Linked DNA regions of Stegostoma tigrinum. The protein of the gene in region 3 purifies or fractionates together with the protein of the main gene of each other region. This does not show direct contact. Links are inferred from orthologs where the notes say so. Each region holds a gene or a part of one and is shown on either strand. Other genes may lie near its edges.

Evidence for each region.
Region 1: the proteins of tubulin alpha-1A chain (region 3) and dnajb6b purify together in Homo sapiens (pull-down; 3 studies listed by BioGRID and IntAct, with this or other methods). This does not show direct contact. The link is inferred for Stegostoma tigrinum from reciprocal best matches to the Homo sapiens genes TUBA1A and DNAJB6.
Region 2: the proteins of tubulin alpha-1A chain (region 3) and dnajb11 purify together in Homo sapiens (affinity purification with mass spectrometry; 3 studies listed by BioGRID and IntAct, counting the BioPlex papers as one, with this or other methods). This does not show direct contact. The link is inferred for Stegostoma tigrinum from reciprocal best matches to the Homo sapiens genes TUBA1A and DNAJB11.
Region 4: the proteins of tubulin alpha-1A chain (region 3) and T-complex protein 11-like protein 2 purify together in Homo sapiens (affinity purification with mass spectrometry; 3 studies listed by BioGRID and IntAct, counting the BioPlex papers as one, with this or other methods). This does not show direct contact. The link is inferred for Stegostoma tigrinum from reciprocal best matches to the Homo sapiens genes TUBA1A and TCP11L2.

The regions. Positions count from the first base shown.
Region 1 is NC_081355.1:140,060,033-140,067,035, reverse strand, and holds the start of dnajb6b (dnaJ homolog subfamily B member 6b), read left to right. Parts: upstream 1-3,986; 5' UTR 3,987-4,131; intron 4,132-7,003. UniProt on the Homo sapiens protein: Has a stimulatory effect on the ATPase activity of HSP70 in a dose-dependent and time-dependent manner and hence acts as a co-chaperone of HSP70. Plays an indispensable role in the organization of KRT8/KRT18 filaments.
Region 2 is NC_081360.1:29,052,072-29,060,001, reverse strand, and holds the start of dnajb11 (dnaJ homolog subfamily B member 11), read right to left. Parts: upstream 3,005-7,930; 5' UTR 2,827-3,004; coding exon 2,762-2,826; intron 2,497-2,761; coding exon 2,340-2,496; intron 1-2,339. Other genes in the region: tbccd1 (TBCC domain-containing protein 1), read left to right, coding at 6,088-6,262. UniProt on the Homo sapiens protein: As a co-chaperone for HSPA5 it is required for proper folding, trafficking or degradation of proteins.
Region 3 is NC_081404.1:13,027,756-13,035,638, reverse strand, and holds the start of tubulin alpha-1A chain, read left to right. Parts: upstream 1-4,874; 5' UTR 4,875-5,008; coding exon 5,009-5,011; intron 5,012-7,375; coding exon 7,376-7,598; intron 7,599-7,727; coding exon 7,728-7,876; intron 7,877-7,883. UniProt on the Homo sapiens protein: Tubulin is the major constituent of microtubules, a cylinder consisting of laterally associated linear protofilaments composed of alpha- and beta-tubulin heterodimers.
Region 4 is NC_081378.1:36,829,934-36,837,677, reverse strand, and holds the start of T-complex protein 11-like protein 2, read left to right. Parts: upstream 1-4,739; 5' UTR 4,740-4,849; intron 4,850-5,506; exon of another isoform or gene 5,507-5,631; intron 5,632-6,530; exon of another isoform or gene 6,531-7,065; intron 7,066-7,744. UniProt on the Homo sapiens protein: Promotes the migration of muscle-derived satellite cells (MDSCs) during differentiation throught interaction with FMNL2 and therefore may participate in microfilament assembly.

The DNA.
Region 1 (7,003 bases), on a different chromosome or scaffold from region 3:
TAGAATTCTGTGGCAAGTAACTCACGTCCTAAGTTCCCAAATCTAATCTATCTTCTACAAGACACAAATAAGGAGTGTGATGAAATACTCCCAATTGCCGGGATGAGTACAGCTCCACAACACTCAAGAAGCTTAACACCACCCAGGGCAAAGTAGTCTACTGGAATGATACTAATCCACCACCTCAAACATTCAGTCCCTACACCACCTCCACACAGCGGCAGCAACATGTGCCATCTCGAAGAAGTGCAGCAGTAACTTACCAAAAGATAGTAAGTACTGCAGATGCTCGAGTCAGAGACAACACAGTTTGAAGTTGGAAAGTTGGTTTTTCGGGGCAGGACACTTCTTCAGCCCAGTCCTGAAGAAGGGTCCTAACCCGAAACATCAACTTTCCTGCTTCTCTGATGCTGCCTAACCTGCTGTGTTTCTCCAGCTCCACACTGAGTTGTCAGTAACTCACCAAGACTCCCTCAACAGCACCTTCCAAACCAGTGGTCTCCAACATCTAGAAGGACAAGGCAACAGATACACAGGAGTGCAACCACTCACATATTTCGTTCAAAGTTACACACCATCATGACTTGGAACTATAATTGCTATTCCTTTACTGCCACTAGATTAAAATTTGGGGAACGGTGTCCTGCTAGTACTGGAGGTATTTTTGCTATCTTAAGGTCAACATCAGTTAATGAAAGGGGCTTACCACCATCTTCTCAAACCAGGACAATAAAATGCTGGTCTAGTTAACAAGACCCACATCATATGACTGACCCAGATCAACTATGAAAAGAACGCACTCCAAAAAGAATATATTTCCCTCTTTGAAAGAATAAGATGGATTAAAATTAATACAGTCATTTTCAGAAAAAGGATGAAACATAGTGTAGATAAGTGAGACATGAGAAATCTACTGCGGAGTTGTAGAATAATTACTGCACAGAAGGAACTTGTTTAGCTTGTCGTGTTTGCACCAACTCTTTTCAGGAGCAATTCACCAAGTGCCACTCCTTAGTCCTCAAGCTGTGGCACTGCACAACTTTCCTTTTCAAATAGTACCCCAACTGATTTTTGAATGCCACTAGCAAACTCACAGGGAGTACATTCCAGATTCTAACTATTTGTTGCATGAACATTTCCCATGTTCATCACTTTTTCTTCTAGAACATAGAACAGTACAGCACAGTACAGACTCTTTGGCTACACTGTTGTGCCAACCTATTATCCTATTAAGATCAAGCTACCCTGCATACCCTACATTTTATTATCAACCATGTGCCTATCCAAGAGACACTTAAAAGTCTGTAAAGTATCTGACTCCACTACTACTGCTGGCAGTGCATTCCATGTGCCCACCACTCTCTGTGTAAAGAACCTACTTCTGACATCTCCCCTGTACCTTCCTCCTATCACCTTAAAATTATGCCCTCTTGGACTAGTCATTTCTGCCCTGGGAAAATGTCTCTGGCTATCCAGTCCATCTATGCCTCATGATCTTGTACACTTTCCTCAAATACCTTTAAAATTCATGCCTTCATAGGCTTGCTTCTTCCTCTCTACTGTGTTAAGCTGCACTTGATCTTGAATATCTGTACCAAATCAAGAAAAAAGAGTTACCTGGTTGAACAGAACTTGATATAGTTGAAACAGGCATTTTGACAGAGCTAATGGGAACTGCAGATGCTGGAGAATCCAAGATAACAAAGTGTAGAACTGGATGAACACAGCAGGCCAAGCAGCATCTTAGGAGCACAAAAGCTGACGTTTCGGGCCTAGACCCTTCATCAGAAAAGGGGGATGGGGAGACGATTCTGAAATAAATAGGGAGAGAAGGGGAGGTGGATAGAGGAGAAGATAGGTGGAGAGGAGAGTATGGGTGGGGAGGTAGGGAATGGTTTGGTCAGCCCGGGGAGGATGGACAGGTCAAGGGGCGATTAGTAGGTAGGAAATGGAGGTGCGGCTTGAGGTGGGAGGAGGGGATAGATGTGAGGAAGAACAGGTTAGGCAGGCTGGGACGAGCTGGGCTGGTTTTGGGATGAAGTGGGGGAGGGGAGATTTTGAAGCTAGTGAAATCCACATTGATACTAATGGGCTGCAGGGTTCCCAAGCGGAATATGAGTTGCTGTTCCTGCAACCTACAGGTGGCATCATTATGGCACTGCAGGAGGCCCATGACGGACATGTCATCTGAAGAATGGGAAGGGGAATTGAAATGGTTCGCGACTGGGAGGTGCAGTTGTTTATTGCGAACCGAGCAGAGGTATTCTGCAAAGCGATCCCCAAGCCTCCGCTTAGTTTCCCCAATGTAGAGGAAGCCACACCGGGTACAATGGATACAGTATACCACATTGGCGGATGTGCAGGTGAACCTCTGCTTAATATGGAAAGTCATCTTGGGGCCTGGGATTGGGGTGAGGGAGGAGGCGTGGGGGCAAGTGTAGCACTTCCTGCGGTTGCAGGGGAAAGTGTCGGGTATGGTGGGGTTGGAGGGGAGTGTGGAGCGGACAAGGGAGTCGCGGAGAGAGTGGTCTCTCCGGAAGGCAGGCAAGGGTGGGGATGGAAAAATGTTTTTGGTGGTGGGGTTATTGTTTTGTCCAATTTCAGCAATACTCAAATCAAGAACACAAGAACAATGAGTAGGCCATTTGGACACTTCAGCATGTTTTGCTGTTCAGTAAGATCAAGTTGATGTGACTGCAGTTTTCAACTCCACTCTCCTGAGTGCCCTATTCCCGCTAACTATTTCCTCCCACTTATCAAATATCCACCCAACTGCATCTTGAACCAATTCAACCACTGGATCCAGAGGAAGTAGACTCCAAGCGTATTATCTCAGTCTTAAATGGATCACCTGCTATTTTGAAACCATGCTCTGCACTGTTCCATCCGCTTAGCATCCATCGTGTCAAGTAACCTTAAGATCTAAAGTCACTAGGAGACAGTAGTAACCAAAGATGCTGGAGTCAGTGTCAATACAGTGTGGAACTGGAGGATCACAGCAGGTAATGCAGTTTCAGAGTTACAGGAATGTCGATGTTTCAGGTTTACGCCATTCCTCTAGACTGTCTCCCTGATGCTGCCTGATCTGCTGTGTTCCTCCAGCTCCACACTTAACCTCAAGATCTTATAAGTCTCATTCTTCTTCACTCTATTAAGTACTTGCTGAACATTTCCTCATCCCTAAAAAAGGTGGGATTATTGTGAACAAATAAGGCTGATGCCTGCGTGTTTGGCTATGCATAAAGAGGATCGCACAATGTAATGTCCAACCACTGGGCAACAGAGCCCAGGTGGAAATTCCAACAGTGTCAAAGGTGTGTTCTAGCCTGTACTATCATAAAAACTTAAGAATTAGGAACGGGAGTAACCTCAAGCGTGTTCCACCATTCAATAAATCATGGCTTATCAGACATTCCTCACATCCACTTTCCTGCCTTATCACTATAACCCTTTATTTCCCTACTGATTAAGATCCTATATTAGCCATAAACGCACACAAGAACTCTTGGTTCTTTGTGGCAAACAGTCCACAACCCTGTGAGAGAAGAAATTCCTCCTCATATCAGTCCTAAATTGGGGCCAACAACAAAAACAGAAGTTGCAGGAAAAGCTCAGCTGGTCTGTTATCATCAGTGAAGAAGAAAAAATGTGTACTGAGCAAGGGGTCACTGGTCCCGAAACGTTAAACTCTTGAGTTTTTTTCTTCACGGATGCTGCCGGACCTGCTGAGCTTTTCTAGCAACTTCTGTTTTTGTTTCTCCCAGCATTGACCCTGTCAAGCCCCTTACGAATCCAAGATGTTTCATTGAGATCACCTTTCATTCCTGTAAACTCCAGTGCTTTGTTTTCCCCGCTTGTGTGGTGAACGATTAGCCGGCTTCACATCACCACCACGTGATACCAGGCCACCGTTCTCTCGCCATTTTCCAGAAATTTCAAAGGTGACGTCACATATGAGCAGCGGTCGGGCGACGTCATAATGACGCAATAACTGCCAAAAGGAAGTGACGAAGCGGAGATTTTTTTCCCCTCTCTCCGTTCGGCGGCCGGTGGATGTTTCTAGAGCGGGAGTTGTTGGTGAGGGCGAAGTCTGGGTTGTAGTAAGTCGGAGCAGGCGTACGGAACCGAGAGGTGAGACCTTAAAAAGAATACTCCAGGATAGCCTCCCAAGCGCGTAGCCGGTCGCGATTGTCGTCAGCTCAGATTTATGCTGGCAGAGGGGAGTGAGGCCGAACGGGGGAGGCGTACTGCCAGCGAGAGAGAGAGAGAGAGAGAGAGAGAGAGAGACAGAGACAAAACAAAATGGGTGAAAGGCCGTTGGTTTATCTAAATGCGTGGGCCTTTCGGCCTTGGAATAAAGCTGATTTCGCTTGAGGAAACAGGTTGTTATGGAGATGGGGTGCTGACCAAAGAAAACAAAAGCCTCTCTTCCATTCCTGTATTCTCCAACTTGTGTATGTCTTTGTCTGTCTTCTCCCCTGCCGCGTGTGTGTGTGTGTCTCCGTCTACCTTCTCCCCTGCCGTGTGTGTGTGTGTGTCTCCGTCTACCTTCTCCCCTGCCGTGTGTGTGTGTGTGTCTCCGTCTATCTTCTCCCCTGCCGTGTGTGTGTGTGTGTCTCCGTCTATCTTCTCCCCTGCCGTGTGTGTGTGTGTCTCCGTCTATCTTCTCCCCTGCCGTGTGTGTGTGTGTGTGTGTCTCCGTCTATCTTCTCCCCTGCCGTGTGTGTGTGTGTGTGTCTCCGTCTATCTTCTCCCCTGCCGTGTGTGTGTGTGTGTCTCCGTCTATCTTCTCCCCTGCCGTGTGTGTGTGTGTGTCTCCGTCTATCTTCTCCCCTGCCGTGTGTGTGTGGGTGTCTCCGTCTATCTTCCCTGCCGTGTGTGTGTGGGTGTCTCCGTCTATCTTCTCCCCTGCCGTGTGTGTGTGGGTGTCTCCGTCTATCTTCTCCCCTGCCGTGTGTGTGTGGGTGTCTCCGTCTATCTTCTCCCCTGCCGTGTGTGTGTGGGTGTCTCCGTCTATCTTCTCCCCTGCCGTGTGTGTGTGGGTGTCTCCGTCTATCTTCTCCCCTGCCGTGTGTGTGTGGGTGTCTCCGTCTATCTTCTCCCCTGCCGTGTGTGTGTGGGTGTCTCCGTCTATCTTCTCCCCTGCCGTGTGTGTGTGGGTGTCTCCGTCTATCTTCTCCCCTGCCGTGTGTGTGTGGGTGTCTCCGTCTATCTTCTCCCCTGCCGTGTGTGTGTGGGTGTCTCCGTCTATCTTCTCCCCTGCCGTGTGTGTGTGGGTGTCTCCGTCTATCTTCTCCCCTGCCGTGTGTGTGTGGGTGTCTCCGTCTATCTTCTCCCCTGCCGTGTGTGTGTGGGTGTCTCCGTCTATCTTCTCCCCTGCCGTGTGTGTGTGGGTGTCTCCGTCTATCTTCTCCCCTGCCGTGTGTGTGTGGGTGTCTCCGTCTATCTTCTCCCCTGCCGTGTGTGTGTGGGTGTCTCCGTCTATCTTCTCCCCTGCCGTGTGTGTGTGGGTGTCTCCGTCTATCTTCTCCCCTGCCGTGTGTGTGTGGGTGTCTCCGTCTATCTTCTCCCCTGCCGTGTGTGTGTGGGTGTCTCCGTCTATCTTCTCCCCTGCCGTGTGTGTGTGGGTGTCTCCGTCTATCTTCTCCCCTGCCGTGTGTGTGTGGGTGTCTCCGTCTATCTTCTCCCCTGCCGTGTGTGTGTGGGTGTCTCCGTCTATCTTCTCCCCTGCCGTGTGTGTGTGGGTGTCTCCGTCTATCTTCTCCCCTGCCGTGTGTGTGTGGGTGTCTCCGTCTATCTTCTCCCCTGCCGTGTGTGTGTGGGTGTCTCCGTCTATCTTCTCCCCTGCCGTGTGTGTGTGGGTGTCTCCGTCTATCTTCTCCCCTGCCGTGTGTGTGTGGGTGTCTCCGTCTACCTTCTCCCCTGCCGTGTGTGTGTGGGTGTCTCCGTCTATCTTCTCCCCTGCCGTGTGTGTGTGGGTGTCTCCGTCTATCTTCTCCCCTGCCGTGTGTGTGTGGGTGTCTCCGTCTATCTTCTCCCCTGCCGTGTGTGTGTGGGTGTCTCCGTCTATCTTCTCCCCTGCCGTGTGTGTGTGGGTGTCTCCGTCTATCTTCTCCCCTGCCGTGTGTGTGTGGGTGTCTCCGTCTATCTTCTCCCCTGCCGTGTGTGTGTGGGTGTCTCCGTCTATCTTCTCCCCTGCCGTGTGTGTGTGGGTGTCTCCGTCTATCTTCTCCCCTGCCGTGTGTGTGTGGGTGTCTCCGTCTATCTTCTCCCCTGCCGTGTGTGTGTGGGTGTCTCCGTCTATCTTCTCCCCTGCCGTGTGTGTGTGGGTGTCTCCGTCTATCTTCTCCCCTGCCGTGTGTGTGTGGGTGTCTCCGTCTATCTTCTCCCCTGCCGTGTGTGTGTGGGTGTCTCCGTCTATCTTCTCCCCTGCCGTGTGTGTGTGGGTGTCTCCGTCTATCTTCTCCCCTGCCGTGTGTGTGTGGGTGTCTCCGTCTATCTTCTCCCCTGCCGTGTGTGTGTGGGTGTCTCCGTCTATCTTCTCCCCTGCCGTGTGTGTGTGTGTGTGTGTGTCTCCGTCTATCTTCTCCCCTGCCGTGTGTGTGTGTGTGTGTGTGTGTGTCTCCGTCTATCTTCTCCCCTGCCGTGTGTGTGTGTGTGTGTGTGTCTCCGTCTATCTTCTCCCCTGCCGTGTGTGTGTGTGTGTGTGTGTGTGTCTCCGTCTATCTTCTCCCCTGCCGTGTGTGTGTGTGTGTGTGTGGGTGTCTCCGTCTATCTTCTCCCCTGCCGTGTGTGTGTGGGTGTCTCCGTCTATCTTCTCCCCTGCCGTGTGTGTGTGGGTGTCTCCGTCTATCTTCTCCCCTGCCGTGTGTGTGTGGGTGTCTCCGTCTATCTTCTCCCCTGCCGTGTGTGTGTGGGTGTCTCCGTCTATCTTCTCCCCTGCCGTGTGTGTGTGTGTGTGTGTGTCTCCGTCTATCTTCTCCCCTGCCGTGTGTGTGTGTGT
Region 2 (7,930 bases), on a different chromosome or scaffold from region 3:
TAAAAATTAAAAGGAGCCATGAATAAAAAGCAAGATCACGCAGGTTCCTGTGACTCTACTAAGGGGGGAAAAAGATAATGGACACCAAGGGTGGTTAAATCCTACCCCAAATATTAACTTGCTCCTTCCCCCAGTCCTGAAAATGTCAGCACACTCATTAACTGTGGCTGCCAAATGGCATCTGTACAAAGTTGTGAAACATTAATTCAATGTAATAGCCAGAGGGTTGAAAATTGCCTAGTCCAGCAACTCCATGCCAGTCAATTTAATCTGTGCTGGTAAAACTGAGGTGATAATGCTGGATAAAATTATTAGTCACTTAAGTAAATACAGGTTAATTAAGGAAATCCAATGTGGATTTGTTAAAGGTAAATCATGTTTAACCAACTTGATAGGAGTTTGAGTGGTATCATAGTGGTGAAGATAATGCTGTTTTTATAGCGTCTATCAACTTCCAAAATATATTTGTTAAAGTGCCACACATTAACCCATGATCAAAGTTAGAACTCATGGAATGAAAGGGACAGTAGCTACATGGGTCCAGAATTGACTGTGACAGGAAACAACAGCTGAATGTTTGTTTTCAGACAGGATGACCACTTAAGAATGACTTCCCCAAGAATTTGTTAGGACACCGACAGTACCTGACAAATTACTAACCTGTATAGGGTAAAACTTCCAAATTTGCAAGTGACAAAGCTTGGAACCATTGTGAACAATGAAGCAGATGGTGTAGGATAGCAAAGTCATATGCATAGTGAAATGGTCAGAAAGGAGAAATATAATGCAGAAGTGGGTGAAATGATTAATTTAGCATGAAGGCAGCAGAGAAACAATACAAAGTAAAAGATGCAAATTTTGAAAAAGAGACCAGGAGCAGAGGGACCAAGTCAATATGTAAGAAAATTCCTAACATGGCAAGGCACATCAAGTGAACAACGAATAAAGGATGGGACATCCTAGGTTTCATTAATGGTCGTAAAGTCAACAAGCAATAAATTTTATTAAACCTCTACAAATACTGGCTCAGCCTCATCTGGACTATTACATCTATTTCTGGGCACCATATTTTCCAGTGAAGAGATTAGAGGGGATGCAGAAAAAATGCCTCCAGGGATGAGAAACTTCCGTTACACAAGGCAGACTGAAGGTCTTCCTCCTTGAAGAGGAGATTAATACAGTTATCCAAAATTTCAGAGTTCAGATAGGGACAAAACAACAATGCAATGATCAAGAACCAGACAAAACAGATTTAAGATATTTGGCAAAAGAAACAATAGCAACACAAGGAGAAACATTCACACAGGTTAGGATCTGGTATGCACTGCCCGAGAGTGGCAAAAGTAGGGTGAATTTTGACTGTCAGGAGGGAATTAGATCATTATCCAGAAAAGAAAATGTTACAGCACTACACGAAAAAGACAGTAGTGGCTCTAGATGAAGTGCTCCTTTGGAAGGCCAGCTGACATGACAGACCAAATGACCTCTTTCTATGCTATAACCATTCCATTATTTTAGAAAGACAGTTCATGAGCTTAATTAAAAAAACAGAAAGCTAAAGATAGATGTTAAACTTGGAGAAAGAACTGAAGTAGCAAGAAATTGGGAGTTCAAGATTACATCTTCAGACAAAAGCAGAGGACTGTTAGCAGAAGTTACCTAAGTGATGTTCAGTTTCCAGACTATAGAAGAGGCCCCAACAAGATCAAGGAATACAGAACTTCATTTGTTTAAAGAATATTGGGATATTCTGTGATCACGGTAGGCCTTTCTTCCTGAAATTTGGAAGAAGTTCACATAAATTGTTGCTCCGAGGGTGTTAAGATTTAGGCAGAAGGTCAGTGAACAATCTTTGCACAAAAGCTTAAGCTTCATAAATAGCTTTAGTCAGTTAAACATACTTGGAGGCCCTCAACTATTAAATGCACTACAAGTGTCCTACCATTCATAAACACGACATGCGTATAAAATAGACAATAAGTATTATTAGGAGAAACACTGATAGTCGTATTGTTTCAGGACATGCAGTTTTAAAGACGTTAAACTAAAAAGTGTACGAGATCTGCAAATGTGTAACTGAAACAATATGTAAATTGAGAATCTTACAGCAGCTGCTCCAGCAGGCTTGGATTATAGTGTGACCTCTCACCCCTTCACCAATAGCCAATGAGCTGAAGCCACACAGTCTCCCAGATTTGTCATCACTATAACTCAGAAGTAAAAAGAAGTGACTGAGACTTCACAAGGAAAGGCCGAAATGTACCTGACGGGTAACCCTCCCTCATACCATTACACTGGTATTGCACACACACTCAGCCTACATTGCCCCTACTCAGTACCTCATAAGCAGCCCCCAAATCCTGGAACTTAGCCTGCGCTGCCGGATCGTCGGGGTTTCTGTCGGGGTGCAACTGCAGTGCCAGTTTGCGATAAGCCTTCTTGATATCCTTCACCGAGGCGCTTTTAGATACCCCCAGAATCTTGTAGAAATCCCGGCTGTCCTCAGACACAAACAAAAAAAAAACACGAGATATGAAGAAAATACACACAACTGAAATAAGACCTTACAGCCCTTTCAGTGACTGATGAACAACGCACTTGGCAAAATTTTGTTTGTTAAAAAACTGAACAAGTTCCCACCCGATGATCACACCGGGGGGTCACTCTAACGCGTTAATACCCATGATATTCATTCAGTGAAGTGAAGGTAGATAGGAAGAGCTGCAGGAACCTGAGCTGGAGATCTCTCCCTCTCACTTACCCTGTCAGAACCTCCCCGCTCAGACACAGCAGCACAATACACACAGAGCGCACACCCGCCGCCATGCTGCACACTTTTCCTCCTTCCCTTCCTTGTTCTTTTTTTTGTTGTTTTGGCTCCGCTGCCCACGTTACTCTCTACGAGCTGGTTAGCGGCAACTACCGGCAGAGGCAACCTAACAGCATCGCCGCTTCCTCATGCCTGACGCTTTCAGGAGGGGCGGAGTCCAAGCTCGTACTCCAACTGCTAGACCTTCTCATTCGTTTGCTATCGTACCGGGAAAGGGGTTGGGCAGAGGAAGAGGAGGGCACGGGGGTATAGTTGTGTGTGTGTGTTCGTGCAGGAAATTATGCACAGAATTCTAATAAGTCAAAAACGGAACTAAAAATAAACAAGGTGGAAAATCTCATTTATATTTTCGCCTTTTTTAAAAAATTGCTTCGTGTTAGGTTTTTAAAGTTGAAACATGTAAGACTGAGTTAAAGTTAAATGATGAAGTGTTATTGCGTTAGAAAATGTACAGTCCTGTGTCAGTTTTTTTTATTTCAAAAGCTTAGTTGCATCACAGTGCTGTCCAAGAAGTGTTTAGGATTCTTCCCGGAAAATGGAAAATACCGTTAGTGGATAAGTGTTTTGAGAGAAGATTGAATAATTATTTGAGGACGAGTAAGATTCTAATTTTGAGTAAAATTGTGTGCGTTGGCAATAATAAGATGATACAGATGGTCATCTTTGGTGGACATGTTCTGTGATTCTAAATAAACTTATTGTTTGATGTCTGCAATTATATATAGCATCTCTAAACTGCCTTGCTACCTTTTCTCCATCTTCAAAAGCATCTCCTCTTGGTCACCTCCATTTAGTTTTCTTAGTACAACCTGGTGAAATATCTTAGGAAATTTTACTAAGCTATAATATTAATGTAAGTTTTTGTTCCTTACCAGATGGATTTTGCTTTTACATAAATGTATTCAAAGATCTTGGATTCATAAAATAAATTATGAAACTTCAAAATAATCCACAATCCATTTTGCCTGTAGGATTGTGATTTGGATCAATTAAGACTCATAAGGAGAAAAAATCTGACTATTGTGAAATAAAAGACTTGTATTTATAAGGCAATTTTTGAGACTTCCTGATATCACAAAGCAATTTGAAGCCCATTAAGTACCTATGAAGTACTGTCACTTCTGTAATTTAGGAAACATTGCAATCAATTTGCACTCAGAAAACTCCCACAAGCGGCAGCAACATAAGCTAGAATGAGGCACTGGCCACTTTAGTGTGCTGTGCCCAACTTGGAGTTTGAGCCCCGTTTGGAAACCTGGGAGCTTCAGCAGTGGCAGCACTGCCAAGATTGACCCAGCTCGGACTCGTGGTGGCGATGTTAGTGGAAGTAAGATGGTGCCGAACAGTGCTGACACGGTTCTAGTGGCGGTGGTGGGGCTCCAGGACGTGGCTGGGCCCAGGTATCTGACAGTAGAGGCGGTGGCATTCTGGCTGCAGTGATGTGTGGGGACTTGGAGCATCTAAGTACTTGCAGACTGAGGGATGGACTTTGTGACTGTTTTTCTGGGAGCAAGAACTGATGGTGGAGGTGGGGGAGTGATCTAGACATTTCCTTTTGTTTTGCCTGTTTCTTTTATTTCTGTTTGTGTTTTTCCTCCTCTCTTTATACTAAGATGGCACTAGAGAATGGTGACTTTTTACATTTTTCATTGTACTACTGTACCTGAGTATATGTGACAATAAAATCTAAATTTAAAAACAGCAGTGGGATAGTGACCAAATTATGCTTATTTTTTAAAATGTCTATGAGGGATATATGTTAGCCAGGCCTCCAGGGATAATACACCTGTTCTTCATTGAATTAGTTTCAAGGGATATTTTACATTCAACAAAACAGGCAGATGGGACCTCGGTTTACCACCATATCCACAAGACATACTGTTTCGAACAGTACAATGCTTCTGCAGTTTTGTACGGGAAATTTCAGTCTTGATTTTTGTGCTCAAGCCCTGGAGTGTAACTTGAACTCAGAACCTAGGCATTTAGAGGAAACAGCACTACAAATATATTAGGAAAACAAGTTATGACATTTCAATTATGTGTCTTCATCAGAATTGACTCTTGATTTATAAACCTATCAGCAGAATTCCAGGTTCTGTATCAAATTTTCAGTATTTTGCAGGCTCTCCTTTTTATCTAAGTTGTGTGTATCACTATGGAGATATCTCTTGTGCATCCCTTCAAATAATCGACTAAGTCAGGAAAGGAAGAAATTTTTATGCTGGAGATGTTTATAATTTACATTTTCATATCTAATTTCCTCGACCACTCTCTCAACAAGAGTTAGTGAAGCAGGCATACTGAAACATGGGAAGGTAAAATTGCCATAGGTTAATTCATGAAACAGAAGTAAAATATTGTTGCTGGAAACTGAAAAAACAGCTGAAAATACTCTGCAGATTAGGCAGCATTTGTCAGAAATTTAAGGATAGCTGATCTAAAATATTAACTTTGTTTTCTTTCCACCTGATGCAACCAGAGAGGTTCAGTATTTCTAGCATTTTCTGTTTACTGATAAAACATTTTATTTTGGGAGCCGGTATAAGGTTCCAGATTTTTGTGCCCCACGTGAGTGGTTTGAGCGCTGGACGAAGGGTCACTACAACCTTTTGGATCTAATGTTAGTACCAAGCAATCGAAAAGAAGCAGAATACTGCAATGTGGATATATAGAGACAGAAAAGAAGAAAAATGCTGGGAAATAGAATTAACGGTTCAGGTTTTGTGGAACAGCCTACGAGCTAGAAGGATCAATATAAGGTAGAACATTTTTAACTTTTTTCAGCTCCGACGAATGGTCCTGTATCAGAAAACGTTCACTGTCTCTCCATCTTCGCAGATGCCGCCTAAACTGCTCCGTTTAAAAGCATTTTCAAGTGCTTATTTCAAGTACCTAGAGGTTGTGTACACACTGAAAATGCAAAGTCCTGCTTATTGTCGTCCAGTAAGACTTGGTTAAGACTCGGGCGGATCGACTACAGGAATGTGACCGAGACAAGCTAGAGTAAGACAACTGAAACTTGGTTGCGTTGAAACCAAGACCAAAGCTCAAACAAAAACATATTTGTTTAAAGTCCCCAAATAGCGAAATGGCCAGGTGTGGACAGAATTGCATCGCCTTGTAGATATTCCGGGGTGTACTTATTGTAAATGTGCGTAGTTCGGTCTGTGTATGAGATAAAGTCTCTGTTAGTCCTATCCGTTTGTAACTGCGATGATATGCAACAGGCTTGTTGCAAGTAGCAGTACGGCCTCAGGATGCTGCTGCTACCGCCACGCCTGCCTCTGGTGGGCCGAAGCCCTCCGTTCCGCCGCCCACCGTCGTGTCTCGGGCTAGGAGCTGCACACTGCGAGCGGCGGCGGAGACTGCAGGGACAGGCGCCGCCTGGCTGGGCCCAGCTCCAGCTCCAGCTCCGGACACTCCGCGGGCCTGGTAAGGAGCGCCGTGTTAATGGTCTGACTCATGTAGGGATTGCAGTGACTGAGGGGCCGGATAGATTCCTCTTCCCTGACCCAGGAGGGCTGTGCTGAGAGGAAGGAAACTGCTTCGCTGCTAGCAGGAAACACGGTGTCCAACTGTTGTTTTGTATTTGCTTTCTTAATAATTATCTTTCCCTTTTGCATCTGAACTGCATGTGTATATAGTCACGTTCATCCCTTTCTTCTCGCTAAATCTGCATATTTGAAAACGACTTGTTTTTCTCTTACCCCATCTCCACTTTTAAATAAACAAACGTTGATTTATAACAGATAGCCTCTGAAATACAAAAGGTTAAGGGAAACTTGTAAGAGCGAAATCAAAACGTGGTTGCTGGCCCCTAAAGGCCTCATTGAGCTGGTGGACCTCAGAAAAGGGGCAGATACCAGCAAAGAGCCGCCACCCCGTCCAAAGCCTGCTGGCTAAGTCTGTTGATGTCCACTTTGGCCATGCCGAGCAGCTATCCCACAAGGAGGTGCTTTGATCTGTCCACCCCTCCTCCTCTCAGGGTGCCCATAAATCAGGAGCATTGGGCAGAAGTGCAACCAGAAAATTAAAAGCAACCCCTTTTTTAAAAAAAACAAAAGTTATTCCAAACAAAAACATAAAAAATTTATTCCCCCAAGTCACAAAAGCTAAATGTGGCCTGTAAATCTACTTTAAATTTAAATTGCTTGATACTACTGCAGGTAACACTCTCCATCCCATATCCCTGATGGAAAGAAGAGGATTTCCTTATAAAAAAGCTGTCCACTGGGTATTTCTGTTGCCAGAAGGTAAAAACTTATTCCAGGACATAATAGGAACTGCAGATGCTGGAGAATCCAAGATAACAAGGTGTAGAGCTGGATGAACACAGCAGGCCAAGCAGCATTATAGGAGCAGGAAGGCTGACGTTTCGGGCCTAGACCTTTCATCATTTTATCTACTGAAGGATCTAGGCCCAAAACATCAGCCTTCCTGCTCCTAAGATGCTGCTTGGCCTGCTGTGTTCATCCAGCTCGACACTTTGTTATCTCTAAAAAGGAAGTGGAAATTGTGCAGCAGCCCATACAGGAAAACACTGTTGTTTTGAAAGATAAAAAGGTAAATTGTGTGATGCAGGATCCCAAGGGAGGTTTTGGTTTCAGGTGCCAATGTCAAATTCCAAACAAAAAGGAATCAGTGCACCTGGAAGCTCACCAGACACTCCAGCCACTTTGACGCCCCACCCCCATGAGTTCCTCAAGTATCACAGGCTTTGGATGCGTAGTGGTTGTTAGTTGATGCTGTAACATCCAATTGCACTGGTGCTGTTCAGCCCACTCCTCTGCTGTCCAGTACATAGAGCCTGGCCACATTGACACCCTAGCCACCAACTGTACCTTAAACTTTGATAACAGAGAGCCTGTTCCTGAGCAGCACCTCCCTTATGACAGCTGCCACTTCAATAAACAGTGAACTACAGTAAGAAGGTTGTATTATGCTAGAAGAATTGTATGTTTAGCCAGAGAAACTGGGCCAAAGCACTATGCAAAGCTACCTGCATTTGAACTCAAGATGGCAAATGTCAAATAATTTAAATTCCCCAGTTGCTGTGGATGGATTTGAACTTTCATTTATGAAATGGTACTCTAGCCTTAA
Region 3 (7,883 bases):
GAGACCTCTCCTGACCTCCGAGGTGAATGCAAAGATCCCAGGATCACTGTTCAAAGAACAGTGGGCAGATCCCCTGGTGCCTTGCTAATGTTTATCACTTAACCAACATCACTGAAGACAATGTTATCTGGTCATCATCACATTGAGTGGTGTATGCAAATTGCTGACTACGTCTTCTACAGTACAATGAAGACAACTGGAGTGCTTCATTGGCTGTAAAGTGTTTGGAAGACCCTGAGATTATGAAATGCAAGTTTCTTTCTGTTCTTACAAACTAAACTGACTCAATTAGATGCCGTGATAACAAAGTGTGAAGCTGGATGAACACAGCAGACCAAGCAGCATCTTCTTTTCTGATGAAGGTTCTAGGCCCGAAACGTCAGCTTTTGTCCTAAGATGCTGCTCGGCCTGCTGTGTTCATCCAGCTCCACACTTTGTTATCTCAGATTCTCCAGCATCTGCAGTTCCCATTATCTCTGATTCAATTAGATACTGATTCTTTTCTTTCAACTCTCTCTGAAAGATATTGCACAATTATATAGGGAAATTGGATTGTGGAAGTGCCTACAATATCCTAAAAAGTGAATTGCAAATACTGTTTTATGGATGTGACAGCAGTCGTATGCTCTGATGTGATAAAAGAGGCTTACAACCCACCAGGGTGCCAAGGCAGTCTCCATGGTAACAGAGCTATTCATCTCCTAGCGACAGGATTGAAAAATTGACTGTCCATTCTAATTAGCTTTCCAACATGCAATCTAGGAGAGGCAAGCTGTGTTGAGATTACTGACAGTGGCAAATCTGACATGCTCTTGAACCAGTAAACAAAAGAATTGTGGAAATAATTTAATTATTTGTCCTTAAGTTTCATTGTAGCAGAAATGCGTTATTATAAAGGAAAAATGTTCTTCTTACTATTCATAAAAAACAATCAGCAAGCCAAAAGTGGCCCAACAGGATTCACATTTCTAATTATCTATCTGTCGATTTAATAAACCCAGGGTCAGCGATTGATTGATCGGTATCTTGGGCAGAATCAATGGCATTGGTAGACAGATTTCTGGATTAACATGTGTACATTTGAAGATGGCTGTGGTTCTGCCAGTAGGCAAGTGGATAATGCAGCCAGAAAATTAAACCAGAAAGGTCCTTCTGAATTGCCTGGGGAGTAAGAGGGATACTTCAACGTCTCCAAACTAAAGAATATCAGTTATACTTTCAGCTTTCCTCAGTGACTCTTGCTGAGAAGGACACATAGATAGCAGATGAGCATTATCATCAGCCCTGGCTGAGATTTAACCTATCATTGAACTACATATCAACAGTCACCATCTAGAATGACACAAGGGACAGCAAGCACAGGGGTGACAAGTGAATGGAACTTGATCCGCATTTGGAAATGGGCAGCAGAGTTTGGATGCCTACAGGTGAAGTGAACAGCTTGTAATCTGATTTCAGGGATCAGAAAACAGGCTGTATATCATTCTATATTGGTTCCTGGTCCACTTAAATCTAACTTTTTAAAATGGTCATTCTTGTATTATTCATTATCATTGCCTCACTCCAACATATCACTGTGTTCTACTCCAACTCTCCAAGAACTCCATGTTCTTTCAAATCTCCACCTCTTTTAACACCATCACTATCAACCATGTCTTCAGCCATCATAGACATGCAGCATAGAAACAGGCCCTTCAGCCCACCATGTCTATGCTGAACAACAAATACCAAACTAATCCCATTTACCTGTGCTTGGTCTGTAGCTTACTATGCCGTGGTATTTTAAGTACTCATCCAGCTGCTGCTCATATGTTGTGAGAGTAACTGCCTCCAGCACCCCCTCAGGCAGCATGTTCCATATTTCTACCACACTCTGGGGGAAAACGTTTTCCCCAGATTCCCTGAAAACCACCTACTCCTCACTATAAACGTATTTGCTCTGGTCTTAGACATATCTGCATGGGGAAAAGATTCTTGCATTGACCCTACCTATGTCTTGCATGATTTTGTACGCTTCAATCAGATCCCCCCGTCAGCCTCCTCTGCTCCAGGGAAAACAAGTCCAGGCTATTCAGTCTCTCCTGATAACTAAGACTTTCCATCCCAGGCAACATCCCGATGAATCTCCTCTGTATCCTCTCCAGTGCAGTCACATCCTTTGGATTTGGTGATTAGAACTGCACACAGTTCTCCGTCTGTGGATTAACCAGTTCTTTATAAAATTGTAACAAGACTTCCTTGTTCCAAATTCTATACCCTAGCTCATGAAGGCAAGCTTCCCGTACACCACCTTCACCGCCCCGTCTGCCTGTGCTGACACCTTCAGGGATCTATGGACTTGTGCACCAAGGTCTCTTTGTTCCTCAGTATTTGCTAGCAACTTACTATAGTCTCATAATTCTCCCAAATAACTATTGTTCTCTATATTCATTTAAAATTATTATTGTACACCAAATGTTTCTCCTTCATTAGATCATTATTGCAGTGCAACATTTCTGAAGTGTGTTATTTATCTAGAAGATTCTGTTGAACAAAGTTATGGATTGAATTTCAGCTGCCTGACATTTGTTGAAATGGAGTTATTTGTCATGAATTAGTTGATCTTGGGGACTGTAACTGCTAAAACTAACTTCAGGACCAAGAGCCAGGCAGGGTGAAATCAACTATGATTCCTACTCCGATTGTGAAAATCATGATACCAGAACTGTGAGGCTATACCCATCAGGAAAGGGTGAATAGGCTGTCTGTTTTCCCTTGAAAAAGATTAAGGGGTGAGCAAATAGCGATCTTTGAAAGGATGAATTTTTTTTATGGATACTGAAGGAATGTTTCCTCTTGTATGGAAGAGTATAGCCAGAGGTTAGCAACATGAAAGTCCCCAGGAAATCCAGTAGGGAATTCCCAAGAAATTTCTTCACCCAAAAGAATGGTGAGAATGTGGAATTCATTACCAGGGAGTGGCTGCAGGGAAATAGCATAGATTAATTCAAGTAGAACCTAGATGGGAATCTGAGACAAAGGGATTGGAGGGTTTTCTAATGGAATTGATTTGGGAAGGATGGGAAAAGGATCGTATGTGGATGGGGAGATTGGATTGTTTCCGTGCCCTCTTATTCTGCGTGGCTCCATATCACGCCATGTAGCAGCACGGTTGTGCCCTCACTCTCCTGACAATGACAAGCGATGAATGGCTGTTTAGGATCAACCATGTGAAAAAATGGTTACTTGGGTGATGTAGCAAATGGCTCATTGTGACTACCTAGTGCTCTCATCCTGAGGAAAAGGGGAGAAAGCAGTCACTGCAGAATGAATCACGTAGAACGCTGTAGCTGCAGTGTGAGTCACATGTTACACGAGCGACCATTCTTTTGAAATGCATAATTGTTACTGGGGGCGAATAATAATTTTTCCCACTTTAGAAAATATCCAGATATGGTTTTCTGCCCGTACAAATAAGACAGCGAAATTTGACTTCCACATATAACAGGCACATTTATATGTTCAGATAACATCAACAAATCTATTGGAGACGCTTACAATACAATCGAATCTGGACCCCTCCATTTCGAGACACAAACTCCCTCCATCAGCTGATAGGTGTGATTGAAGCTTACACCGGGCTAATGTCTGGTGTAATAATCAGCTTTATGCCTTCTCTACCAGCAAAGAAAACTACGTCCCTATATCCAGTGTGTAGGACTGCCTTTGTCTGTTTGCTGAAATATGCTACTCCGGACAGTCAAAATCACCTAAAATACAATAGAATAAAAATAATAATGCTCGTGGGAAATGTTTTAAAATTCGTTTTTTTTAATAATTCGACAAAATCAGGAATAGACTGTTTCTCTGAAACCGCTTCAATTTAAAATAGTTACACTGTATTGACGCGTGTCCAGCACAAAAGACTGAAAAATCCCCGCCCCACCCTGTCCCATTCCACAGCCAGTTTCGTAACATGAAACAATAGCAACAAGAGACAAAGTTGCTATTACCAAGGAATCCGTTTTATTTTGTCTCCCGATCCTGCCCCAATGGAGGGCAATATTTGCGGCGAAGTTTGTCGGGATGTGACAGTTTAGAACTGAGAAGGCGCCGTTAACAGAACGCGCTGGCCGAATTGCAACGTGTAGAACATTTTCTGATACAGTGAGAGAAACAGCAATTCCGTCTTATATCGTTACAAAGAGCTAATGTAACAAACTTCACGAATGTAACAAACTTCACGAATTATTGTATTAATTTTACAGTGGCCAGTAAATAAAATACCACCTTTTTACATGCAGGTTCTAGTCGTGTAATTCTGCTAAAAGATTGAACGTGGTTTGTAAAAGAATGCATTATTCGTTGGGGGCGGGAAATTCCTTGTGTAAAATAGATGGAAACGTGGCTTCGTTAATTATGAAAAACTTTTTAACGAAGAGAATAGTCAGAAAATTGTTAATCTGTAAATTGGTATTTATAAGATATTTAATAATTTCCTTCATCAAATAAGCAGTTCAACGTAGTCCATGATGTTATCAGTGAAAAAATATTTCCTTTGAATTTCTCTTTATAAGGCAAGGCCATCTTATTACTTCAGAAGAACAGTGGTTTGATTAATTGCTGAGGTATTTTATCCTCTGAAAACCGGAATCTTACTATTTCGTCGCCAGTTCAAATGCTGTTTTCTCAAATGTCAGCCTTTGTTCCAAATCACTCGTGGTCAAGGCGATTAGTTTATTCAGGAGCGTCTACCCAATCAGAACCCGCGAAGCGGTTAACGGAGCATGTTTCCTCCAATCAGAGAGTCAGCATTGTGATAGTTCCTCGTCACTCAAACAGACCTCCTCCAATGGGAATGGCTCCACTGACCAGGACCCGGTGTCTGGCCCCACTATAAGAACATGTCTCTCCCAGCTGAGGGTAGGTTTTTTCTTACGACGACCCGTAAAAGTCGCGCTGTAGGAAGAAGTCGCTGAAGTCCTCTCTTTATTCCATTTGTTTTGTCTACTATCAAGGACCAGGCATCATGGTAAGATGCTGTTTAATACAAAAAGAGTTTTCTTTCTCCCCAGCAAGCTACACGTTGGAATTTCGTGTTGTAAGACTTGTTCTCGTTTTTAAGCATCTTAATTGTTGTTTTTAAGTACACTTGTCTGACTTAATTTCTAAATTCCACTACGCAAATCTCGTGAACATAAACATCACGGGATAGCTAAATGCGGTCCGAAGTGAAAGGAACGGAAGAAAGGCTGATAGCGTGGGAGGTGGCTCATGTGAGCATAAACCGACCAAATGATCTGTTCGTGTTGCAAATACAATGCAACAAACTACGTTGCCTGTGAATGATTTAATTACAACGGGAATAACTTGCTATCAAAGATAGTGTACACGTACGCTATTCGCATGCAATTTTCCGTCAATACAATCAATTTCACACTTAATGCTAAGGGTGATGAAATAAAGCCATTTCAATGGACTTCTGCAAGTAATGTTATCCGGAGGGAAAAAATCCGTTACACTTAACAGCGAATTTAAGATCACTTCTAGGCTTTTCGCTAGCTAATCGCTGCATATGTCTACAAGGATATGTGAAAGAGATGTTGGAACACAATGGGCAGTGACTCTCAACGTGCAGAGGGTGTGAGCTGAATTTGGCATACTTCCCCCCCCCCCCCCCCCCCGACCCCCGAAATTGCTTTGTGTCGGGATTACTGACGTTTCCACACTTACTGCTCAATGGCTTGTCAACCATAGCTACAAACTGAAAGCTTTCGTCCCCATTCCCTAGTGAAATCACTGTAGGGCTGCTTAGTAACAGTACACGTCAGTGACGGTCATACGTGGACACAAAGCCAACGTCAACACGAGGTCACCGTGAAATAGGCAGCTTTTGTACATCGTAAAGCTGTGCTAAGAATCAAACTACGGATAATGGAGCCTGTCTAAATTACTGGGCTTAAAGATAAAAAAGATGGCGGTGTAGGGGAGAGTGGTTGTAATCCGTCTGCTTCCCTTCTGGGAGGGGTCGGGGGGAGGGGAGACATGGCGGCAGTTGGAGACAATCTGCACTGCAGTATGACCCCACCCAAATTCAGCATCCGAACCAGAAATTCTAGCTAGTTTGCGTATTGCAATGCTAAACGCAAGAATTGCACGGATGTGCCCTTTTTCTGGCCAGTATCAGGGATACAAGATCGATTCCAGCTTCGGGTGACTATGGAATTTGTATGTTTTCCCCGCTTCTGTATGGGTTTCTGCTGGTTTTCCCCTAACAATCCAAAAATGTGCAGGTTAGTTGGATTGACCGTGTTAAATTATCTATGGTGTTCACAGATGTAGGCTAAACGGATTAGCCACGGGAAATGCAGGGATGCGGAGGGTTTTAGGTCGTATGCTCTTTGGGGTGGGGTCGGTGCAGATCGAGGGGCCAAATAGCCCCCTTCTGCATGTAGGGATTCTGAGATTCTCCATGATACACGATTTTTTTTCATTTTAAAAAAAACTTTGGATTTATACAGCAATCCCATTCTAGGTTATAACTGTTTTTACAGATGGGTCTAGTGGGTTGTAAAATCGTTACTTGTGCTTCAATTTTTTTTCAGGAAACGTCTAAATCAAGTATCCTCTTAAATGTATACCCAAGAACAATCATTGATTTCAAAATAAGATTTAATTTCTTTGAGAAATGTCAACAATTGCTAAAAGCATTAAATGTATGTTGGGATGGTGGAGTACACTTTATGAAGTAATTGTTTTATCATAATTGACACTGATGCAATATTGAAGATGGCATATGCCGATTGCTAAATGGCTGGGTGATGTGCTTGATTTCCATATTACCTGCAAATCTGAAATACTAAATTTCAGTTCTGTTTCAGTCCCAACTTGAGTTGCGTGCCTGCCCCTTTCATATGTCTCTCCAGCATGAGTTGCACTCCTGTCAAGTATATGATACTTAAATAGAAGTTGACCTGATGCAGTTGAACCACATCTGTATAGGTCAAGCATAGACCTGATGCATGTGACCACAATGGGAGTAATACCACCCCCTCAAATGCTTTCCAATACAGTGTCATACAAGGAATCCAATCAAGTACAGATGCTTCTCATAAACTACATGTCTTCAGCTGCCTCAAATTGCTATGTGGTTACCTATCCAGCCTTTACATCATTCATGACTGTCCTAACAACTGATTAGTAAGACATCTGTGGCAACAATCAGATGTATTTTGCTGATGGAGGTAGCATCTGCCTGCCTACCCATCAAGGGAGTAGTAGACTTTCTCCTAAAGGTAATGCTTACCAGAGCATGAATGCAGTAAAAGTTTGTATGGAATGTTTTTAGATCAGATGTCAAACTAGTTGATCACCACTTTGTTTGTTTCTCTTACAGCGTGAGTGCATCAGTATCCATGTTGGCCAGGCTGGAGTCCAGATCGGAAATGCCTGCTGGGAGCTCTACTGCTTGGAACATGGCATCCAGCCTGATGGGCAGATGCCCAGTGACAAGACCATCGGAGGTGGAGATGATTCCTTCAACACCTTCTTCAGTGAAACAGGAGCAGGCAAACATGTTCCACGAGCTGTGTTTGTGGACTTGGAGCCAACTGTAATAGGTAGGTGAGGGGCATGTGTAACACTAACCGTGCAGACCTCTTCTCTGGTTATGCCACATGAGCCTGATTTCATCTTGTGGTTACATGTGTTGATTGTAACACTGAAATTGCACTGTCTCTCGATCCTAGATGAGGTACGTACTGGTACTTACCGCCAGCTGTTCCACCCTGAGCAGCTGATCACTGGGAAGGAAGATGCAGCTAATAACTATGCCCGTGGTCACTACACAATTGGCAAGGAGATCATTGACTTGGTTCTGGACAGAGTTCGTAAACTGGTGAGTT
Region 4 (7,744 bases), on a different chromosome or scaffold from region 3:
CCTCATTCAGGTGAGTGGGGAGCATTCCATTCCTCTCATAACTTGTGCCTTATAGATGGTGGCAGACTTTGGTGAGTCAGGAGGGGTATTTCTCACTGAAGAATTCCAAGTCTCAGACCTGCTGTTGTAGCCACTGTATTTATGCGGTTAGTCCAGTCAGTTTTTGGTTATTGGCAACCATCAAGATGTTGATAGCTGTGGGATTCAGTGATGGTAATACCATTGAATTTCAAGAGAGAGATGGTTTGAGTCTCTCAGAGATGGTGCTTGGCAGTCACTTTTGCATTATGAATAATACTTGTCTGTTTGGGTTCTGCAAGAGTCATTCAGCTCGTGACCTTGTTACAGCTTTTGTCCAAACATGGACAAAAGAGCTGAACTCCCTAGATGAGGTAAGAATGACAGTCCTTAACATCAAGGTCACAGTTGCCTGAGTGTCATCAAGAAGCTCTGGGAAAACTGGAGTCAATGGGAATCAGGGGGAAAACTCTCTAGCACAGAGGAAGGTTGTTGTGATTCTTGGAGGCCAGTCTCAGTACCAGGATATTGATGTGAGAATTCCTTAGGGCAATGTCTAGGTCCAACTGTCTTCAGATGATTCAAGTGGGGCAACCAACTCACCTCCTGTCTGCCCAATACCTGTCAGCAGCTTAGTGGAATACTGTGTACTTGACTTAATAGATGCAGCTCCAACTCAAGAACATTGACACCAACTAGGACATAGCAGCCCACTCGATAGGCACTGTTGCCATCAATCACCATCAACATTCTTTCTCCCTTTGTGCATACTGTTGACATGACATATTGATGGCAGTCTACAAATTCCACTGAAGTAACTTAAGACCCATTTGACATCATCTTCTTAACTTGTAAATTCTGCCATAAATAAGCACAATAGCAAGAGTTACATGGGAACAACCCCACCTGCACGATCCCCTACAAGCAACACAGTATTCTGTTTTGGAACTAAATCTCCATTCCTTCACCGTTGTTGGGTCAAAATCAGAAACACCCTTCCTAACAGCATAGTAGGTGTACTTAGCCTATATGGACAACTGCAGTTCAAAAAGGCAGCTCTAATGAACAGTTATAGATGGGTAATAAATGCTGGTCAGCCATACCCCCATGAACAAATAAAAATAAGCTGATAACTGAAAGGATGTTGATATGCCTACAAGGGCCATGTAACAAAGCTGGCTCCAGTACTTTTAGAAGAACTATACGCATTAACATAAGCTTAGCACCACCAGAGATACAGTAACATTCCTCCAGCTGTGAGGGATAAATAAATAAAACAAAATACCTCTATTGAGCGAAGTGTCTGTAGGCTCCTGTTGTTAGTAATACAGCCCATGTATTGTATAACTTTTGATTCTCAATATCACAAAAGGGTGGAGTGAAGTAAACATTTCTGCCAAATAAACTTTTGAATTAATTTAACATGAATTTGTCAAAATATAACAAGAGTCTTCTGGAAGTTTCTGTCCACTGAGCAGCGACAAAACCCAGAACATTACTTTCCTATATGCATGGTGCAATTTGTACAGTTCCTCTCATAGTTTGTGTTTTGTTAGAATTTAATGTGCATTTCTTGACCAAGTGTGAATAAAAATTATTGGAAGTACTCAGTGGGTCAGCCAGCATCTTTTGAGAGAAACAGAATTAACATTTTGAGTCAATGACCTTTATCAGAACTGAGAAGAAATGTAAAGTTTCAAAACCAGTAGATATGGGAGAGGAGGCTGGAAATAATAAAAACTAGGGTTTGTGATAGGGGTGGGAGATTAACAAACAAAAGATTTTGTGTTCAAAATCTAAAGAAAATGATAATGGGCATTATAAATAGCGAAAGATCATGTTCAGGTTAGGAGATTAAGTAGGATTGGCTATATAGTAACCATCTGCATACAATATATCAGGATAAATAATGAAATAAACCAGCAAAATAAAGTACAAGGAACAAGTTGGAGGCAGAACTCTTGTTCAAATGTTACTGAACACAGTATTGAGACCAGAAGACTGAGAAATGACAGATGAATGCTGAGATGTTATTCTCTGAGTTGGTATTGTGCTTCTTTGGAAAATCGTACTTGGCCATGGACAGAAAGATCAGACTTGAAGCAACATGAAGATTTGCAGGAAATGACAGGAAATTCAGGTCATGCTCGCAAATTGAACAGGTGTTCTGCAATGCGGTCACCAAGTCTGCATTCAGTCTTCCCAGTGTAGAGCACAGTACATCTTGAACAGCACTTTCAATGTGTTACATTAGATAAAGTACAAGGCAATCACTGTTTCACATTTTATTTATTCATGTGGAATGTGGATGTCACTGCCTGGGCCAGCATTTATTCCTCATTGTTAGTTGCCTTGAGAAGGTGGAGAGCTGCAGGCAACTTGGAAGGGACAAAGTAGAAAGATAACTGTTACATCTTCCAAGATAATAAAATGTGAGGCTGGATGAACACAGCAGGCCAAGCAGCATCTCAGGAGCACAAAAGCTGGTGTTTCGGGCCTAGACCCTTCATCAGAGAGGGGGATGGGGAGAGGGCGCTGGAATAAATAGGGAGAGAGGGGGAGGCGGACCGAAGATGGAGAGTAAAGAAGATAGGTGGAGAGAATATAGGTGGGGAGGTAGGGAGGGGATAGGTCAGTCCAGGGAAGACGGACAGGTCAAGGAGGTGGGATGAGGTTAGTAGGTAGATGGGGGTGTGGCTTGGTGTGGGAGGAAGGGATGGGTGAGAGGAAGAACCGGTTAGGGAGGCAGAGACAGGTTGGACTGGTTTTGGGATGCAGTGGGTGGGGGGGGAAGAGCTGGGCTGGTTGTGTGGTGCAGTGGGGGGAGGGGACGAACCCAACCTGTCTCTGCCTCCCTAACCGGTTCTTCCTCTCACCCATCCCTTCCTCCCACCCCAAGCCGCACCCCCATCTACCTACTAACCTCATCCCACCTCCCTGACCTGTCCGTCTTCCCTGGACTGACCTATCCCCTCCCTACCTCCCCACCTATACTCTCTCCACCTATCTTCTTTACTCTCCATCTTCGGTCCGCCTCCCCCTCTCTCCCTATTTATTCCAGCTCCCACTCCCCATCCCCCTCTCTGATGAAGGGTCTAGGCCCGAAACGTCAGCGTTTGTGCTCCTGAGATGCTGCTTGGCCTGCTGTGTTCATCCAGCCTCACATTTTATTATCTTGGAACTCTCCAGCATCTGCAGTTCCCATTATCACTGTTACATCTTCTGTTGTTACATAGAAAGGTGCCAGGATTTGTTTTCCTACCTTGTGCCAGGATTTGGGACATCTGCTTTGGGCTAAAGGGAATCTTCCACTGGAAGTGGAAGGATCCACTGGTCAAGATCCCCATAGACAGCAATAATATAGGTAGAACTTGGAAAGAGGTTCTGCTGAGTGTGAACAGCGAGGGACTAAATTAAAAGCAGGTAGTAGTATTTTGGGGGAAAGAGCGTCACAGAAAGCAGCAAACTATAGATCTAAGAGCCTTAACATCAATTGTAGGGAAGGTGCTTGATCCATTGTGAACAATGTCCAAGCAGAACACTTAGAAAATCACAGTGATCAGGCAGAGAGAATCTTTGTGAAAGGGGAAATCGTGTTTTACCAATCTATGAAAGTATTTTTCATAAAGTAATGTCAATGGTAAATGGAGGAAAACCAGTGCATGTTCTCTATTTGGATTTGTAAAAGGCATTTGGTAAGGTGCTACATCAAAGGTAGCTAAACAAAATAAGAACATGTGCTATGGGTGTAGCATATTAGCTTTGATTAGCTAACAGGAGCAGAGAATAGGATTGAGTGAGGTTGTGTGTTGGCAAACTAATGAGTCAAGTGCCTCAGGGAGCACTGCTGAGTCCTCAACTAAAGGTAAAGTTGGTGTAGTTCTACTGGACCATACACCTGCTCTCTCATTAGAGAGAGATAGAGAAAGAGCAAGAGGGTGAGAGAGAGAGAGAGAGAAAAACACCTGGTGGTGGTTTAAGCTGAATGTCACCACATCTCAAGTGAGTGGAGAGGTTGAGAAGGAGAGTTCTTCTAGGTAACCATAAATGGTGTGTGATTTGAACCCACACTGTTGGCATCACTCTGCATTGTAAATCAGCCATTCAGACAACTGAGCTGACCAACCCTCTACGTACAATATAAATCAATAATTTGAATGGGGGATAGACTGTGTAATATCTATATTTCCCAATGTCTTCAAAATGTGCGGCAAAGTAAGTTGTCAACGGAGAGATCCACAAAAGGATATATACAGGCTAAGTGAGCAAAAAATTTAGCAAACGAACTATAACATGGGAAAATGCGAACTACACGGGGAAGGACGCGTTGGGGGGTGACTGAGGAGTGGATGATAATGTCATGGGAGGAGAGTAGTCCTCATGAAAGGGCAGAGAATGGAGGGGATGTGGTCGGTGGCATTGTGAGGGAGCTGGCCATCAGGGCAGAGAGTGGGGCACCTGTCAGTCCCAGCTCTATGACCTGTTGCTGTGTGACTGATGTTAGAGTGGCCCTGCCTGATGGGCTGAGGGAGGCTAGCTCAGAGCGTGGAGGGGGGAGGGGGAGGGGGAGAGTGTGTAGCGTTTGTCTGTTCCCATGGAGACGAGGGCTGGCGGCCGTCACGTGTCCCCCTTCTCTCCTAGCAACAATGTAACGTCTTCGGCGGCACGTCACATCCGTCAACAAATAGGTCGGGGCTGTAGCTCCGGGAGGAGAAGATTGGCCTTGGGGTGGGAGGGGGGGACAACCTCCGTGGGGGCAAGGAGCAGCCGCTGCCGCCCACATCGTATAGAAAGGGCGTGGGGGCGCTGCTGAAAACTTCTCCACGCCAGGGTAAGGGGGCAAAGCCCCACCGGCAGAGCGGATCCGGAGGTGGGGGTGACCGATAGCCTGTCACTTGGAGGGGAAGGGTGTGTATCAGGGCAGTAGCAGCAACCGCCCCCACCCTCACCCTCACCTCTTCTCTTGTTCAGTCCCGGAGTCCCCCCCCCCCCCCCCCCCACCTTTTGCTTGCAATGTCTACCCTCTAGACCAGCCACCCACCTTGCCCCGAATCCGATGACCCCACGGAGTGGCCCTTTAAATCCGAGCCCTCTCATCCCCGGCGTTCCCGTAAACACGGGTGACAGCCGAAGCCCAGTATACTCCGCTCAGTTTCCCCAGGGGGCGGGCTAAAGCTGGCACAGCACCGTCCCAGCTGCTGCCGCTGACACCGCGAGTGCCGGGCAGCTTCTCCCCCGTGTGTAGCGAGTTCAAGAAACTTGTTTTCATAATCAACTTGTTTCGAGATGTACTGTGCTCTGGTTGGGGAATTGAACCCGTGATCCCCTTGCTCAGAGTTAGGGGCATTACCACTGCCCCCCCCCCCCCCGCCAAGTGCAGCGGGAGGAGGCTGGCAGTGCTGCTTATGTGTGTTTTTCCGGCTTGTTATGGTCTCTCTCTTTCTCTCTCTCTCTATCCGATCACATGAGCCTGCATGACGTGGAAAGAGGAGCTTTAAAAACCAGCCTCAGCTCCCCATCTACGGCTGTGTTATTGCACCGAGTGCAGGAAGAGAGAGAGAAAGGGTATTGCATCCCTTCACTGACCATTCCCAGTCCTCCAGCTGCTCCAAGGTTTTCGATTACAGTCCCGGTTTGCTTCAGCGTTTGCGGAGTTTTGTGTTTACATGAATACTTGGACTGAAATGCGGCATTCTAAATTTAAATTCTTTTGAATATTCAGTACCTCAAAGGTCATGCTTGAGTGGGTGAAAGCAGTTTATTTAGTGGTTATTAGAATTACTGCGTTATATTGTGCTAAGTGCATATTTCTTCCAAAAACTCGTTCTTTTTACTTGAAACCAGGGTTTAGAGGTGATCGTATTTGTTGTTGTTAGTCCAGTTTCAGAGAAATTTAGAGATGGACATGTTCTCTATTGAATGTGTTTTTCAGGTTGAACATGGAAGAGGGGTCGGGCGGTGGGGATCGGACGAGAGGATACAAACGGAACTTAGTTCCTATCTTTAAGTCAGTCATTATGTCTTTAGGAATTTACAACAATTACAAAACCATCCTGTTTACTATAAAATGTCTTGTAATTACACAATTCTGCCAGTGGCGGTACCGTAGCTCTTACTAGGGGGAAGGTCAAATTATAAAATGACATTTCTTCCGTAGTTAAATATGTAAATATAGGCATCAATAATGGAGACAGTTCCGTACGATGTAAGATGGGTAATTTTAATGGCCTAGTTTATTTATGTAGCATTTATTCTGTACATTAAATCAACTGTAGGGAGTAATATTGTAAACAAACACCACTCAGTTTTGCAGTTAAAACTATTAGAGATGAGATGCACAGTGAAACGACTGGCATACACCAATTATAATGGGATATTACATGGGGGGGGGTTATGTTTGGCATGTTTTATTGTAGTTTAAGCATGCTCGGAAACATTTGACCACTACCCTGATATTCCCACTGGAATAGTAAACAGTTTTTTTGAATGTTTTGATCTTTTATAATCATCTGCAGGTAAAGTCTGCTATCCAAAATTGTTGACTTTGCTTAATTGAGATCTGAGATGAACTGTTTCTCAATAATCTTCTAAACTAAATGGTGAGAATCAGTGGTAGGCCCATACGACCTGAAAGATTCCAAATTCGATTTCCTGATGTCAGCGTTACTTCCTATAACTCCGTTCATTGGGGCAGCTGTAAAGATCAAACCGTTACCGTCCATTCCTATGAGTTAGCCATTGAAAGATTGACAGGGTCCCGATCTATGTTCGTAAACCCTATTTGGGAATGTACAGATCTCCAGTGGACATAGCTGCAGTGCCTCAATGGTTGCATTTATGGGCACAATCTGATTTGCTCCGATGTTTCCATGGTGAAATAGTGAGCTGACACTAAATTTCACGCATGCCTCATGTTTGTGAATGATACCGCAGTACAGTACTTGAAACTGGGGGATATTTAATGTTGACAACGCCAAACAACAGAAAATGTACACGCTCTTAATTATGAGCTGGTCTTCGAAACAGGCTGAAGGGAGGCAACAAAAGGTAGATGCTGCTGTTTTCGCATAAATCAAAATTTGCATGATTTACAAATTAAAAACTGTGTAATTTATATACCAGCGTTTACAATCTGTTTGTCCCAAAGTACTTGACGGCATTTCAAAAGTGTATAAATTACCTGTAATGTCAAATGCTACAGCCATGGAGCATGTAGCAAGCTGCCTCATTCACGGATATGCTATTAACTGAACAATCATTTTTTTTCAGTACTGTTTGAGAAATAAATATTAGTCAGGACATCAGGAATATCCTCCCTTGCTATTCCTTTAAATAATATCTTGGGATCTGTTATACCCACCTGAGAGGGCCGATGGGGCTTCACTTTTTCATTGTTGGATCTAAAACTCCGTCAGTGTGCAGTGGAAGGTCTGAGCTGTATATTTATGCTTAGGTCCTGGAGAGTCACTTGAACCCACTAACCTCTGACTCAGATGAGAATGCTACCAAATTGTGCTCAGCTGCTACAATTTAATCTAACTGGCAACTTTATTCAATCATGAATTATGCTGTACACAACAGCAATGCAGTTATGAGCCTCTTGACCACTTTTCATGTTTTCAAGAGACTTTCAAAATCTGCCCACAATTTTGACCTGTCTTGCCACACAATTAGTTCCATCATTTCTCCATTTCACACTAACATCATACTGCTTGTGTAAGTTTTT